Nothobranchius furzeri: one gene and its partners. The protein of the gene in region 2 interacts with the protein of the main gene of each other region in a pairwise test. Links are inferred from orthologs where the notes say so. Each region holds a gene or a part of one and is shown on either strand. Other genes may lie near its edges.

The links. The genes of interacting proteins can lie anywhere in the genome.
Region 1: the proteins of hoxa1a (region 2) and fibulin-1 interact in binary tests that used the Homo sapiens proteins (3 or more experiments, as listed by UniProt). The link is inferred for Nothobranchius furzeri from reciprocal best matches to the Homo sapiens genes HOXA1 and FBLN1.
Region 3: the proteins of hoxa1a (region 2) and chic2 interact in binary tests that used the Homo sapiens proteins (3 or more experiments, as listed by UniProt). The two-hybrid records come from large-scale screens. The link is inferred for Nothobranchius furzeri from reciprocal best matches to the Homo sapiens genes HOXA1 and CHIC2.
Region 4: the proteins of hoxa1a (region 2) and ccn3 interact in binary tests that used the Homo sapiens proteins (3 or more experiments, as listed by UniProt). The link is inferred for Nothobranchius furzeri from reciprocal best matches to the Homo sapiens genes HOXA1 and CCN3.

The regions. Positions count from the first base shown.
Region 1 is NC_091741.1:53,756,756-53,760,910, reverse strand, and holds the start of fibulin-1, read left to right. Parts: upstream 1-1,314; 5' UTR 1,315-1,541; coding exon 1,542-1,596; intron 1,597-1,754; coding exon 1,755-1,851; intron 1,852-4,155. Other genes in the region: trim24 (transcription intermediary factor 1-alpha), read left to right, coding at 1-484. UniProt on the Homo sapiens protein: Incorporated into fibronectin-containing matrix fibers. May play a role in cell adhesion and migration along protein fibers within the extracellular matrix (ECM).
Region 2 is NC_091751.1:29,552,095-29,556,392, forward strand, and holds the start of hoxa1a (homeobox protein Hox-A1a), read right to left. Parts: upstream 2,822-4,298; 5' UTR 1,654-2,821; coding exon 1,053-1,653; intron 695-1,052; coding exon 315-694; 3' UTR 1-314. UniProt on the Homo sapiens protein: Sequence-specific transcription factor. Regulates multiple developmental processes including brainstem, inner and outer ear, abducens nerve and cardiovascular development and morphogenesis as well as cognition and behavior.
Region 3 is NC_091747.1:75,930,735-75,934,959, forward strand, and holds the start of chic2 (cysteine-rich hydrophobic domain-containing protein 2), read left to right. Parts: upstream 1-1,384; 5' UTR 1,385-1,581; coding exon 1,582-1,712; intron 1,713-4,225.
Region 4 is NC_091745.1:41,805,720-41,809,723, reverse strand, and holds ccn3 (CCN family member 3), read left to right. Parts: upstream 1-1,389; 5' UTR 1,390-1,477; coding exon 1,478-1,513; intron 1,514-1,807; coding exon 1,808-2,036; intron 2,037-2,140; coding exon 2,141-2,395; intron 2,396-2,559; coding exon 2,560-2,783; intron 2,784-2,903; coding exon 2,904-3,200; 3' UTR 3,201-3,463; downstream 3,464-4,004. UniProt on the Homo sapiens protein: Immediate-early protein playing a role in various cellular processes including proliferation, adhesion, migration, differentiation and survival. Acts by binding to integrins or membrane receptors such as NOTCH1.

The sequences.
Region 1 (4,155 bases), on a different chromosome or scaffold from region 2:
ATTGTACCTGGAGGAATACTTTGAGGAGCAGCTGAAGCTCATCTACCCAGACAGGGTGTTCCCCGGAGGGAGAGAGGAGCAGATGATCCCCCCTTTGGAGGAGGAAATTGAAGAAGAGGAGGAACAGACGGCAGAGGAAAGCACGGCTCACATTGAATGCAACAAACTTCAAAATCCTGCAGAAAAGGGGACTAAAGTGGACCCAGGCCCAACAGACGACAAGGAGCCGGACACAGACAAGACCGAGACGGGATCAAAGGAGACGAGTGAAGTTGTGGGTAGCCTAGAGGAAAGACGTTTTCCTTCTGAGGAGGAAAAGCAAAAAGAGAACACAAAGATGGAGCAGGCGGAACACCGGCCCTCTGCTGAGAATGACGCCGAAGATGGAAACGCTTCCAGCTCTTTAAAACAGGAGAGTCCTGAGCTCCTGACAGACAAAACCGCAGCTCCTCCTGACTGTCAGGATAAGTCAGCCCCTGAATAAATGAAGAAACTGAAGAAAAGATGGCCGATCAAAGTCTTCCGCAGACTTGGGTTTGCACGTAGATCGTGTCAGAATGAGACAGACTGTAGATGCACAACTAAAGGAGTAAATAACCTCCGTGTGATGACTGAAGCGCACAAACGTACCGCGTTCGTCTCGTTTAAGTTGCAAATGCTCCTCCTAACCTCATAGATCATAGGCTGAGTCTTCTTCAGGAGCTGCGGTGCATGAAACACGTCTCCGGAGATTTTAACACACCAAGTAGCCGTTATGTTGGGAAATCAGTTGTTTTTAATAGTATTTTCTTTGTATTTATAGTGTTAAATAGGACCATAAGTGCTGTAAATAATGATCAAATCAGAGGAGAAATGAGCTGCTTGGTTATTTGTCTCAACTTTGTGCTGCCAGTTGAAACTTTCCTGTCCCTCCTCCCCCCCAGTAATCACAACGAAGCCTTGTTTTCACCGCAGTACCAACAATCCTTGATTTACTCGCTATCAGTCTGAGATAAAGCAGAGACGTCATAATCGGCTCCCGTTGTACTGCTTGTGTCCTAAATGACTGCATCCTGATTAGATGCTGTTGGGAATTACACATGTTATAAAACAGCGTTACACCGCGGGTTTACGCACCACTTTACCCGACTTTACTGTATTTATAATAAACAGGGTTACACGTCACGTACGACTGTGTTGTCGGGGGTTACCAGCTGACTTTGATTGTTGCTGTGGGGAATTTCAAATAGTCGCAGGATGAAATTATAAAATAAAAAAGCCACAGAATAAGGCGACACTCTGAGCTGATAAATGTGTTTTATTTAATCTTCTAGGTCATTTTACTTATACTTCAACACTGCTGTGATTTTAAATAAATGCTCTTATCAGATTTGTTTTAATCATTAGAGCTCCCACCCCTAGCCTGACCGCCCTCCCCGGACCTCCCCGACGGACACGTCTGTGTCTCCTTCTCAAAATTTTCCACCGAGATGTTCTGTTTTCACTCCAGCCAGCATCAGAGAAGATCACCAACGTCTGGATCGTTCTCCTAAATCAGCCGGATGGCTCTCTGGGGTTTTGTTTTATTTTCTCTCTGCGGACTTCTGAACGGGCTTGGTAAGTGAGGACGTTGGACCTGCAAAGTTGTGTTCCACGAGGCTTTATTTGGGAATTGATTTCATTGATTTGATTGGTAGTTAAACTGCAGGCTGTATCTTATTTTGATTTAAAACACAAGCTCTGCTTCTTAACCCAATCTGTGATTATCGCACCAGAGAGCTCTGTTCAGGAGTGCTGTGAGGTTGGAAGGGCAATCGCACAGAGGGATCAAGACTGTTCCTTCCTTCCTCGTGTCACCTCACTCATCTGCAGGTGAGCAACGTCTCAACTTAATCTAAAGTTTTAGTTGTGCTGCGCTTAATCTAAATCTCAAAGTGCTCAGAGGTTTAAAAACAAGCCAGAATTAAATGTTGTGTCTGAAGTGAACCAAAGTTTGTCGTTTCACACAAACACAAGAAGAGATAGATCGATGAACTTTATTGTCCACCTCGAATTGAGGCAGAAATTCGCCTTTGACATGGCTCACCTTACAATACAATCCATATCGCGTTCACACAAATACATAAAAAGACATTTAAAAGGTATTAGAATGTTATCGTAGAAAAATAAAACTTTAAGAATTCTAAATTGTAATTGCGGTGGGAACAAACGATGTCTTATAGACACCTTTCTTGTCCAGTGGAACCCTGAACCTCCTTCCTGACGGAAGTAACTGAAAATGTGGGTTCAATGGAGGGGTTGAGTCTGCACTGATCAGGGTAGCCGTCCCGTGCGCTGCTCGCTCGTGAAGAACAGAAAGATGCAGCAAACCTCTCTGAGTAGAGGGTGGGATGTGTGGTTCCTGAGGGCAGGAATTCCTCAGGAATTCACACTTCTGAACTTCTCTATAAGGGAGGAGCAACTCAGTAGATGTAGGTGTTCAGACCCCCCCCCCCCCTAACCCCCCCCCCCCCCCCCCAAGGGGTTTAAACTGACAAAAACTTTTTTGTGGATCCTTTCCTTCGTTCCTAAACCATTCTCATTTCATCTATCTGTTATCTTTAGCGCTGACTCCTCATAGTATCGCAGGGAGCCGGTGTCTGTCTGCAGCAGTCATTTGGCATGGGGGTGGAGGCACCATGATCATGTCTCCAGTTCATCTCAGACACACACACACACACACACACACACCCTATAGGGACAATATAGAACAGGAGTTTCCAAACTTTTCAAGATAAGAGCCAACATCGTACAGCTTATATTTCTTTGCTTTATTTGTTTTTAAATACACAATGTAGTTTATTGTGATTTATTTATTTGCACTCCTCTAAAATGACGTCATATTAGTAAAACTCAGAATGAAAAAACATCAAAAAGTGTTGCTGTAGGTCAGGTGTGTCCAAACGGTGGTCTGAGGGCCATTTACAGTCTTCAGAGCGATTTTGTGTGGCCCCCAATTACATTTATGAATTTTGTCTCCATAGCAGACTGTTGATGGAGAGAGGCACTTTCTAACATCCTCAGATTTATACTAATGCAGGTAAAACTGGAAAAATTAGAATATGGGGCAAAAGTTTTTTTATTTCAACTTTGACTGAGAGACCATCTAAAGCAGGGGTGCCCAGTCCTGGTCTTGGACCGGTATACAGCATGTTTTAGTTTAACCCTGTTTCAGCTCACCTAATTTCAATCAGCAGGAGATTAACTTCTACAGAGCTTGATGAGCTGCTGCATGGATGATTCAACCACCGAATCAAGCGTGTTGGAGCAGAGAATCCACTAAAACATGCTGGATACCGGCCCTCCAGGACCAGGATTGGGCACCGCGGCTCTAAATGCTCAGGAACACTTTGCAGGTGTTCTGGATTCATTAGCTGATTAATGTGACATGTTGAGCCTAGAACATTGAGCCATAGGGTATTACAACCCCCCAAGGCACTTTACAGCACAACCATTCATCCATTCACACACTGGTTGTGTGTGTGCCACAGCTGCTCTGGGGCACACTGACAGAAGCGTGGCTGTCGAACACCGGTGCCATCGGTCCCTCTGACCACCACCAGCAGGCAGAGTGGGTCAAGTGTCTTGCCCAAGGTCACAACTGCGACAGACTGAGCGGGACTCGATCACACCACCTTCCGGTTATGAGACAGGCACTTAACTACTCTGCCACTGCCGTCCCCATTTAGCTGCACTGTTGTCTCTGAAAACTGAAACTTTTTAGCAGCTCTTCTCTGCTTTTATAGTAGCACGGTCTGTCCATGTTTGTTTGTTTGTGTTCCTTCCAGATCAAATAGAACACATATGTCAGACACATGGTCCGCAGGCCGCATCTGGCCTGCGGAGCATTTTAATGTGGCCCGCGAGATAAATATCAAAAATACATTAAAACTGACCCGCTGGCCGATTTTACCGCAAAGACTTCACTCCCATGATGCTTTGCGGTGTCAGCGCGGAGCCGACGCGCCCCCTCCTTTGTGTTTTTTCCAGCGTCTGCTGCCAGTGTCTGCAGCTCCGCTGTCTCGGACAAACTAAACACTCCTCTCACTCAGCGCCGAGTTCACTCAGCTGTTTTCTGACATTGAAGCCCAGAAACGGAGATTCTAGCCGCTCAGTAATGTGTTCACGACTGAAAGA
Region 2 (4,298 bases):
GTTGCTCACTTAACAGCACCCTGCGCTGCATACCCGCCATGACCCGGATACACCACTTTACATTTGTTTTCGTTTGCAGACTCGTGTCTGCCTTTTTTTGCTCACGTTACAGATCAAACTTATCTGAAGATACAGAGATGTTCTTGCAGACACATTGCACAATTTAAACCTAAAGCTCCAGGGTGATCCAAAAGCTCCCGGATGGAGGACTAACTTTAATAAATGTTCACACAATGTCATTCACGAACAAAGACTCTGGTTTTGATACATTTAAACGTTGGTATTTACAGGCCCGTGTGGCCCAGATAGGCTGCTCAGGTAGAGGTGTACGTGTCCGTGCCAGTGGAGGACACCGTGGATGAGCTGGGAGAGGGCGTGGACGGCGCTGAGACGGACCTCTCAGAAGCGGCATCGTCTAATTTCTCTTGATTTATTTCTTCCGGGTGCGATGACTGGACCTTAGCCGGCAGCATCCCCTCTTTCTCGCGCTTTTTCTGCTTCATCCTCCGATTCTGAAACCAAATCTTCACCTGAGTCTCATTCAGCTGCAGCGCAGCAGCAATCTCCACTCGGCGCGCCCGGGTCAGGTATTTGTTGAAGTGGAATTCTTTTTCCAGCTCTGTCAGCTGCTTGGTGGTGAAGTTGGTCCGGACGATGTTTGGCTGGCCCGCATAGCCGTACTCGCCGGAGCGACCTGGGGACAGGAAGAGGGATTCAAGTTTATTTTCTCACCCAAAGGACGCACAAACTGTGCGATTATCCAAAAGAACCAACTTTTACGCAGCAGGCAAAGAAAACCTAATTATTTTACATATAAAACACACTCTATAGTTAAAGACAAATGTCTTTAAACCAACTTTTAAAAGAAAGGGGCGCACGCTTGAAGTGGAAACATGGACATTTAATGCGTTTGCGCGTCAACGCGCTCGCAGTGTCAACATCTCCTGTGTGGATTCCAGTCTGCTTGACCGATTAAAACCAATTAAAACCAATAATAGCAACAGACTAGATTCCCACCTATCTCCCTCGTGCTGGTACAGCTCTGCACCCACCTGTTTTCGGTGGATTTCTTTTGACTTTCATCCAGTCGAAAGTCTGCGCAGAAGATGCGCTCTCTGACAGAGGTGAGCAGCAAGCTTCCAGGTGAGCTGCATGCAGAGGTGACAGCGGGTTGGAGGCCCCAGGATAAGAAGGTGCCTGTTCATGACCCCCGCCATAAGCAGCATACTGCAGCTGGCCCAAGGTGGCAGCACTGTAGCCATGGCGATGCTGAGACACCATGGAGGAAGAGATGTTACCTGAAAACATCAAAGGGCTGCACTGGGGGAATGCAGGTGCAGAGTCTACTTCCTGGTTGAGTGTGTAGTGGTTGTACGTGGCGCAGAAACTTTGGGGCCCATAGTTAGAGCCACAGGCCGGGTGGGCCCCATAGGAGAGACCCATAGAGGTGGCAGTAGGCTGGTAAGAGGCCGGCTGGTGAGGGATGCTGTCAGGGGAAGTCCTGTTTGCCATGAAGTGCTCATCCGCCCCGCAGCTGCTGATTGCAGCCCCGCAGGACTGGAAAGTTGTAATCCCGTGGTCCGAGTGGAAAGCCCTGATCGAACATGAGCCACCCTCACCGCTCATCACCGAGTAATCTAGGAAGCTGCTCATTGTAGCATCGTTAGTCTGGGACCAGGAGACTGTCCTCTCCCCCTCTGATCTCTCCACACTCTCACCCTAAAGTGACCGTGCCAACCTTTACCTTTCTGTCCCTATCAGTGCAGGGAGGGGGGTGCTGGGGATATCAATGAACGGGCACTGTCACGTGGGCACGGGTCAGCCAGTGAGGGTCCTTGTCCCTTTAGCCGGTGACAGATTGGTGTTTGAGGGGCTATTTAAATTCCAGGCGCTCGTCGATCAAGGTGACGCGCGTCGCCACTAATGTATTGGCCGAGCAAACAATGGGCTGGGAGGCAGACGGAGGTGGACAGCTCCGGGACACACGAGGAGCTGCTGAGACGGTGAACCCGGTGTCTTTTAACCCCCCTGCTGCGCAATCTCACACTGAGGAGAGATGTCATCCAAGGTGGACCGCTCTGCACTCTGACCTCAGGTATTTTTAGAACAGAGAAGTGTGAGTCTGTGTGCGTGCGCGCGTGTGTTGGCGTCTCCGTGCGTATAAGCCCTGGTGTCGCATGTGTCATTCTGTCCAGGAAGGATGGATGGCTGAGAGTGCGCGCGCTCGCTGCAGCCGCGGGCTATCTTTAGGCTATTAATGTCCCATTCCGATGTGAAATGTTTCACGCTGGAACATTAAGGGATTTTCTGGGCAAATATTGTTACAATGTGATGGAGAGGACGTGTTTCCCCTGTTAAATACATCCATCCCATCGCACCAAGCCACCTTCCAGCAGAATTTCGTTTCCTCTTAAGGTCGCAGCAGGAGCAGGTTTGTGCATTTCACGTTACGAGGAGAGATGATCCGGTCATATATTCATAAAACACCGCAAAAGGATGCGCAAAAAGCTCAAATTACGTTTAAAATGTGCCTGAAGTAGCGCACAAACGTGATTAGGAGACAAAACCATTAAGGTGATGTGATATTAATGTTTTGTTCCGTTCTCGGGTCATAGGTCAGCCATCTACCAGAGTTCCAGTCCCGCATGTATTCATTATGCATGTATGGTGATCAAATGATATAATAATGCGAAGCCTGCTAATGCGCATATGTAGCCCGAGGTGCGAGTGGGCTGATTATCCTGTTAAGTTCATCAAATAAAGCTGCTGGGAAAACGAATGGTCACGGGAGGCGCGAGAGCGGAGGGGAGTGAGGGGGTTGTAGCAGATGCCCAACCTCTAACCGAGGAAGGAATAGAGGAGAGGGAGGGAGGGAGGGCGAAGGGAAGGATCAGATGGAGGGATGAGCGCCCCCTCAGGCTGAAGATAGACATGCACTTAAATAAACGTGCTTCTGTTATTAAGTAGATTAATTCAGCTCAGAAAAGCGTGATTCAGATTTTACACTCTATTTATTTTTCCTACAAACGTCTAAGTTGTCTCACTGGTACTCAAACAAGCAGTATCAGTAAAATATTAGCAACATTCAAATGTGCAGCTTTTTTCCATTAGTCAAATGTAGTTCTACTTTGTCTTAAATGTAATGTTTTAGGATGTTAGAAAAACAAAATTAGATGTGAAAATGTTCAAAGACTTGTTGCAAACTACATAGCAGAGGGAGGGAGAGAGAGAGAGAGAGAGAGAGAGAGAGAGAGAGAGAGAGAGAGAGAGAGAGAGAGAGAGAGAGAGAGAGAGAGAGAGAGAGAGAGAGAGAGAGAGAGAGAGAGAGAGAGAGAGAGACGAACTGGTTTCCATTCCACCCCCACCCCTCTCCAGCAGCTGCCTCTGTAGTGAGTGGGCGCGGAGGATCCATCGCGTCTCTGCTGCTTGAGGCCAGCCGGGCCCCGCGGAGATTCCGCGGCTCTTTGTGTGGCCGCGGGGGCGCAGAAAAGGCGCGCTGTCTCGGAATGATTTGGTTATGCAGGCCCGTAGTGCAGGAGAGCAGCATCTGCCCCCTGCTTCCTCCTACCACCCCCTCATCTGAACACACGCGCGCGCGCGCGCACACACACACACCCACACACGCACACAGCCAAAGTTAGAGCTGATTTTCTGCTTTCGGCTAAGTTTGACACGTTTTGAAAAATCACTGCAGCTTTCATCTCAACTGGTGTTTTTTAGTGATTCTGAGTTAAACTGGATTATTGAGTTCCCATAAATCCAATCAAAGCTGCGCAAGAGTGCTAAAATGTTCATAATCCCTTTATTGAAGTGAGGGGTTTGAAACGCACACAAACCAGTCTTGTCTTTAAATAAAAAAAATCACAGATTCCACCAGTGTGAGTGGAGAAGCGACGCTAAATAAGAGCAGCTTTAACCTGAGCTGCTGCTGCTGCTGTCTCCGAGTCAGAGCCGCGTGTTAAACAAGCCATAAAAATGAATTATTACCAAACGCACGCAGAGAGCTCGGCCCCTTTTAGCTTAGGAATCGGGGAGTCCCGCATGAAAACGTAAGTGGGGTTTTTATTTGTGCACATTACGCCACAATTGCTCTCTTTAATGTCCGCCTCATTCATGCCACGGAGTGATTTATGAGCTCCTGAAGGCAAACATGGGTCGGGTGTTTGCTTGCAACTTGCACGCCGTGTTTGGAGCCTTGTCATGCTCAGATCCTGGGTGCAAATTTGGTCTTCTAATTATTTATTCCTGCAGCTGAAATTGGAAATAGCTCAAATTATGGCTTTGCGCATTTACGAAAA
Region 3 (4,225 bases), on a different chromosome or scaffold from region 2:
TCCAGGTCAAGATGTCATTGCCCACGTGAGCATTGAAGTCCCCCAGCAGGACAATGGAGTCCCCTGATGGAGCACTATCTAGCACTCGTCCCAGGGACTCCAAAAAGGGTGGGTACTCTGAACTGATATTTGGCCCATAAGCACAAACAACAGTCAGGACCCGTTCCCCGACCCGAAGGCACAGGGAAGCTACCTTCTCATCCCCCAGGGTAAACCCCAACACACAGGCAGAGAGACTTGGGGTTAACAAAAAGCCAACCCCAGCCCTCCGCCTCTCACCCGGGTGCAACTCCAGCAAAGGAGAGTGTCCCACCCCTCTCAAGGACTTGGGTTCCAGAGCCAATGCTATGTGTCGAGGTGAGTCCGACTATATCTAGCCGGTACCGCTCAACCTCTGCCACAAGCTCCTGCTCCTTCCCCGCCAGTGAGGTGACGTTCCATGTCCCAAAGTCCAGTTTCCTTGTCCGGGGATCGGACCACCAAGGCTCCCACCTTGGTCTGTCACCCGATCCACACTGCACCGGACCCTTCATGCTCCTCCTGCAGGTGGTGGGTCCACAGTTGGATGAGCCCATGTATCCGGTTCGGGCTGGGCCCGGTCAGGCCCCATGGGCGAAAGCCCGGCCACCAAGCGTTCGCTCACGGGCCTCAACCCCAGGCCTGGCTCCAGGGTGGGACCCCGGTAAGTTAACCCTCCGGGCCGGGTACTCCGACTCTTTGAATTTACATCCATGAAAGATCCTTTGAACCTTTCTTTGTCTCACCCTTCACCTAAGACCAATTTGTCATGGGAGACCCTACCAGGGGCACAAAGTGCCACAGACAACATAGCTCCTAGGATCATTAGGGCACTGAAACTCCTCCACCACGATAAGGTGACGGTTCAAGGAGTAGTAGGTAATATTGAATAAACTAATTTAGTTATAACGTTTTATCAGCAGGCGTGTGTAATTTCTAATCAAATATATTATATCTATAAAAAAACATCCGAAAGTGAATTTCCAAAAAACAAGTACAACTATCACCAAGAAAGAAATGAGAATGAGGTAAACATGTTTTTAACAAATGAAATAAAAAAGGAACAAAAGACGAATAGAATTTTTAAGAGTAGAAAACCAAAATGAAAATGTGATTTTATTCTATTTTTACCATTTTTTCCCCTTGCCTTATTTATTATGATATATTTTTTGCCATGTTTATTTATTTTTAAGCTCTTTATTTCTGTTAGTCTGGATTCAGGCGAATATGGTTATATTCATTAATAATTTTTTTTTCTTTATGTGTGTGTGTGTGTCAAATTCAGAAAAAGGAAACAAAAACTAAGTAACAATTTATTTGAGTGACTATGATAGAAACTACAAACAAAAAGACGTAAGGACGTCGGTCCCACTTCCGGTGTCGTACAGCTACTGCGGCGGATGTTGATGTTTTGTTAGTAGCTCGCCTCGGACAGCGATGGGAGCTACTTGATATTTTTGTGGTCATCCTCTCTGTTCAGTGCGCGTTTCTCTGAGAGGTTTCCGTGGTTCTCGGTGTCGTTTCTCTCCCGGTGTCTTTACCGGGGTGAGATCGAGTCGGGAGATGATGGAGGACTTTGATGAGATCTACGAAGAGGAGGAAGAAGAAGAGGACGAGGACAGGGCCGCGGAAGAGCAGCTCCTCAAGTATGCTCCGGACCCGGTGGTGGTGCGAGGCTCCGGCCACGCTACTGTGTAAGCTACCGGCGGGACTGGCGGGGATCGTTCCCGGTAAAAGACAACTTGTCGGGGTGTGAGGGGAAACTTGCGGACTAGCTGGTGACTTAGCCGAGTTAGCTAGCTGCTAACAACTGGCTACAGTGAGCAGTTAGAGGACGGCGGTGAAGAGTTTGTTTTGTTTTCTCATCGTGAATTCACCATAATAATTGTGTTATTTTAGCCACTGACAAGTCAGCCCGCTGTTGATACCAACGGCACTCTTTGTCGAGCATTCAGCATTGTTTTTTAATTATAAAAACAAAGTTACTGTGGTTAACTATATTTACTAACGTCCGTTTCATTCCTCATATGTAACAGCTGGACTCAGTTTCCCGAATCTTGTCTCTTCCGGTCAGACTTTTTCGAGTTTAGACGGTTTACACATAAAAAATACTAGATGATACTGTTCACCCAAGCTGCTCCATCTTCTTGGTGTAGATATTCTGAAGCATCTAAAATGTACCTTTTTATGCTGCAAGAGTTTAAAACCTGGCCTAAATTATTTATTTTCTTTCAAATATCTTAAACATTCTGCCAACCCTTTCTAGATGTATAGTCAGTATCTCCAGGCTTTTTGAAGTGGTCTCAAGGTTACTTTAAGGTGCCTTTTCACCAATTTGCTGCCAACTTTTTTGTCCAAAAATAAGCCGCCCTCTGGATTTCAGATCTAGAATCAGTGCAGTTGGTCAGGCCTAGGTTCAGCAACATCATGTGCCCCAAGAATGAGGTCTGCTGAACTTACTGAATAATCAGATTAATCCATCAGTGGGGTTTTTCTTCCCTGATGGCATGTTCCCAGATAACAGTGCCAGGAGCCATCAGTCTCAAACTGTGGAAGAGTGGTTCAGGGAGCACGAGACACATGGATCGTCCACCGCAGAGCCCAGACTATAACATCACTGAGTCTCTGGGGTATGCCAGAAAAGGCTTTGTGCAGCGGTTGGACTCTCAAGGTCTTGGTGGAAAAATAATGCAACACTGTATGAAAAGAAAAACTTGTAAATAAGTGAAGTTAAACATCTGAACAAAGATTGCAATAACCCGAGATGGAGAAAAGATAACTTGTCTGCTTGTTTTGTTCCTGTTTAAATGAAGAGATCAGCTGTGTATCGAATGTGGCAAAAGAATATACTTCACACCACCAGAAACAACATAATGCGGTACTAAAAGCCAGATCAAGACTGAATTTAAGTAGAAAACTCACCCAAGACACATCCAGTGTTATCGCAACATCTTGTTCCATCAGAATGTAGGCGGTTAAAAACTGCTGCCACCTAGCAGACGGAGTGAACTACGCCACACAAACAAATTACAGTAAATGTTTGCATGTAAATTCTCAGTAGAAATCGATACACAGCATTTAATTATTGATTCAGTATCATAAAACAGAATATCACAATATTTCAGTTATATAATCCCTAACATAATCTCTGTTATGTTTACATATTGTATAAAAGCAGAGGCTATGCTGTGAACTGGTTTGTGAATCAGCTGATCTTGTTCTTGTCATTTTCTCTTTTAGTTACAAATTTAGAATCACATGAACCTTCATCCTGCTGTTTAAAGCAAACTAAACCGTAATCGTATGATCAGCTATGCCGTGTTGAGCTTATTTCACTTTATCTGTAGGTTTTCAGTTTAACTCGTAAAACTTCTTTCCGGAGTATTTCTCTTATCCGATGGCTCCATCTAGTGGCTCACAAGCATATCACACAAAAAAATCTGTTGCTCTGTTTAAGATCGCAACTTCACGTATAAATGTGCATCTGTAGCCGACAAACAGATCTAAAACACGTTGTTTTACGAGTATTATTCTCATGTCATGTTGTGTTCTCATATATTTATATTTTAGAGACTTACTTGTCCATGGAAAGTTCATCATCTCTGCATCAGCCGAGGTATTCCTTAAATTTGATGCAAGTAAGAGGTAGTCTAACGCTGTTGGTTAGTTCTGATCGGCACTCAGTTTCCTATTGCACGGAGCTCTGCGGGGCAGGGGGCGTGCTTGGCAAAGATAAATAAATAAATAAAAGACACATTGCTTACATTTTATCACAGTACATGATGAGACAACCGCTTTTATGGATTTCTGAAAAATCATACATCATTTCTGAAAGCGGAAAACTCCAGAAAGCAGCTTTAAAAGGGATGTAAGAAAATATCGATATAACAATGCCATACCATACCAATTTATTTATAAAGCACCATTTCAAAATAGCATGGCAGCTAACCAACCTGCTGTACAGAAAAGAGCCAAATGCTTGAACAAATCAACAAAGCACAATGAAAGCATGAAAATCAGGTAAAATACATAAAAACATAGCATAAATAATCAGGGATAAATATTCCTACTAAAAACAATAGAATAAGAGAGCAGTTAACTGCACTATCAAAAATAAAAATTAATGCGATGAATGATAAAAAACATTTGAAATGGCACAAATAAAACCAAAGACGCTACAAGATTGTGAAAGGTGTTAAAAGTAAGC
Region 4 (4,004 bases), on a different chromosome or scaffold from region 2:
TTTGGTATCTCATAATTATGACTTAGCTAACTCATAATTAGGATTTAGTATCATAATTATGACTTAGCTAACTCATAATTAGGATTTAGTATCTCATAATTATGACTTAGCTAACTCATAATTAGGATTTGGTATCTCATAATTATGACTTAGCTAACTCATAATTAGGATTTAGTATCTCATATATATGATTTAGTATCTCTTAATTATTACTTAGTATCTCATAATTATGATTTAGTATTTCACACTTATGATTTAGTACCTCATATTCATGACTTAGCTACCTCATAATTATGATTTAGTATTTCATACTTATGATTTGGTACCTCATATTTATGACTTAGCTACCTCATAATTATGATTTAGTATCACAAAAATATAATTTAATATCTCAAAAGTATGACTTGGCTATCTCAAAAATAGGAGATGCTATCTCATTACTTTTATTTAGTATTTCTAAATTATGATTTAGTTTCTCATAATTATGATTTAGCATCTCATAAATATGACTTAGCTATCTCACAGTTATGAGATAGTGCCTTATCATATTGAGACACAAAGTCTTAATTATGTGATTTATTTTTCTGAGTGGCGGGAATGGGCTTCCATACTTATTGCTTTAATGTTCTTTGCATGGTGTTTTTTGCTGCTGTATCTGTGCATCTCCTGGTAATATCTATTTTTTAGTACACTAACTATAAAAAAAATAATATGCAATCCAAATGAAAACTGTACATTGACATTTAAACATTTTCACCAGTAAAATGTTATTCCATAGTATAAACAAACAGGGAAAACAATCTGCAAATTGAAATCCAAAGTTAATCTCATTTAAACTCAAATCAAACTCACGGATTACATTTTTAGCCTTGATCGGGTCTTTTAAACTCCCTCGTCAATAAGGATATTTTTTTTGTTTATGAAAATATCATAAAACTCTTCGGGACCAGATGTCACCAGATGGGTTGACAGTGGTGTTATTCTCTCCTTCATCCCTGTCTAAAGTTTCCACTGTGCTGCTATTTAAGGAAACAGAAACAATTCCTTTGGGAATTGCATGGTATTCCAACGTGACCTCCCAGTTAGGGATCAGGTCAAATGTCAAAGGCTCTGGAATAAGGAAACCAGCAGGAAGTAGGTAATAATTGTAACAGATTGAGTTAAAGTGAGGGATTCCTTGAGAAAAAGTCAACTACAAGTAAAATAAACAAATAAGTGAACTTCAAACTATTTGACAGGATCTCACAACGAAATGTGACTTGGCTATTGATCCAACTGTCTCAAGTATCTCCAGGAATTCCTTTTTCTTTGTCGTCATGGTAGCAGCCAGTCAGCTCTGTCATATAAAAGGCCCTCCTCTCCAGAGTCCTGAGACACAACAGCAGAGAGAGTCCGACCTGCTACAGCACAGCCAGGAGGGTAGATCAGACCCCCAATCTCAAGACTCAACAAAGCTGTTAGCGTGTAACGCAACAAGATGACAAATCTTTTAGCTTTACTTGTTGCAACACAGGTAAGAAATACTGCTGTTACATATATTAATCATTATATAGACAGTTTATTATTCTAGCAAATGACTTTTCTTTTAAATAATGGCATTGCTTTTTAGACATGTTTGATATCCACAAAGAGTCAAAATAACACAAATTTGTCATTTTGTGTTGGTTAAACAGCTAACATCATCAGAATTCCTTAATGTTTACCTGTTTCAGAATGTTTATTTAAAAGTTTTTCCTAATTTTTAGTCCAACTGCCCCTCATCCACTAGATGCCAGCTATATGAAACAGAACTTTGTTTCCCTCACAGGTTTTGACTCTAGCCCGATCCCAGGTGTGCCCTCGGAGATGTCAGTGTCCTACAGAGATCCCCGCTTGCCTTCCCGGGGTGCCCCTGGTCCTGGATGACTGCGCCTGCTGCCTGGTGTGTGCAGGTCAAAAAGGTCAAGTCTGCTCTGAGCTGAACCCATGTGACACCCGTAAAGGGCTGCTGTGTAATTACTCTGTCAACATCCACAGGAGGACTGGTGTCTGTGTCGGTGAGTGGGCTGCATTTACACTCACAGATCCTGGAATAAACTACCTCAAGAGCAAAATGAAATAAGTAAATGTCTTTGTTCGCTGTTTGGTGTCCTTGTTCCAGTCGGCGCAGGAAATGTGTGTGTTTTGGATGGATCTGTGTATCAGAATGGGCAGATCTTCTTCCCCAGCTGTAAGTACCAGTGCATCTGCAGAGATGGTCAGATCGGCTGTGTGCCTCGCTGCAACTTGGATGTCATGCTGCCGGGTCCCGACTGTCCAGTGCCGCGTAAGATCCAGGTGCCTGGAGAGTGCTGTGAGAAGTGGGTGTGTGAGCCCCAGACGGAGTCCAGTGCCCTGGGGGGATTTGCATTGGCAGGTGAGTGATCAGAACACCCAAAACTTCCTGTGAGCCAAGACTCTAAAAGGTTAGGTACATGTTTGGAATGTAGCATCAACGTGATGAATTTTTCTGTCAGAGCTTGGTCAGAAGTACGTTGAGGAAAAGACCCCTTCAAACCTTTTATGCTTCTGTGTTTTCAGCCTTTCGTCAGGAAGAAACCGTCAGCTTTAACGGGTGGGACCCCAGCCTGAACTGCATCGAGCAGACCACAGAGTGGGGGGCATGCTCTCAAACCTGCGGCATGGGGGTGTCCACCAGGGTCACAAACAAGAACGATCGGTGTGAGATGGTGAAGCAGAGTCGTCTTTGTGTTATAAGGCCCTGTGATGAGCAGCAGGACCAGCTCACACAGCTTGCACCAAGGGTACGTTCATTTTGGGATTTTAGGATTTAAACTGCACGGAAATTAAGAAAATATAAGCTTTTAATATCAAGAAAAACTTTTCTCATGTTTTAATTGCAATAAATGTCTCTGCTGTCCTAGCTGAGAGGCAGTAGGTGCCAGAAGGTGGAAAGAAGCAACAACGCAGTTCACTTTTCCTACAAGAATTGCACCAGCGTTCAGGCATACAAGCCTCGCTACTGTGGCTCCTGCACAGACGGCCGCTGCTGCACCCCCCACAGAACCAAAACCAGCCTGGTGGAGTTCCTGTGCCCCAACGGTAAAAGCACCCGGAGGCCTGTCATGGCCATTTTGACCTGTGCCTGCCACAGCCACTGCCCCCGAGACGACGGCGTGTGGGAGCCATCGGAGCTCACATACAGTGGCATGAGAATATAGGAGGTTGTGAGTCGGGTGTAAACGGCTATAAGCTGGCTAAGAAAACAACAAAACAGTCCACATTATACAAAATAGTCATTAAAGTGGTGGTGTGTATTTTCCTGGTGCTAGGGGGAAGTACATACATTTCAGGGTAGTTTTACACCGTCTCAACGTGACTGTCGCTAGTTTAAAAAAAACATCATGGAAAGTGTTGTTGCCTGAGGAGCAGAAAGCATGTGACCTCGGCGTGACTCCTCAGACTTTGATGGACTTTCCTTTAATCCCATCGAGAGAATGCAATGCCGATTGTATTTTTCTGGCGTTGCGGTTTCTAGATCTGCTCGGGGTCCTGAGCCTGCCGATGACGTCATCGGCCTAAATATATTGCATCTCGTTTTCAATCTTGTTCTTACACATCCGTTTTGGAAAGAGTTTAGCAGTCTTGTTGTTAATTTTATGTTTCTTACTACCCAAATGTTTCTGAACGTGGTAACGTCATAAAGTCGTGCACCCGGCCAATCACACAGTGTGACGTCATAAAGAGGCACAGGATCCCGAACCGGCCAGAAGGAAACGTGGCGTCTAATATTGCATCCCACAAAGACACTAGACCCTATGTACTTTTTTATGGTTATATATTACAAAGCCGCCAAACTTTTTCAAGGCATGGACATCATTTTATTCATTTTCAACAACATTTTGGTCAATTTTTCCAGAGATTAAAGGTAAAATGTACACATTGACACTTTAATGTACAAGAGGCCTGTAATTTTTATTTTAGACAATAACTTAAAATTTCTGAAGGTTTTCATATTGTTTGTC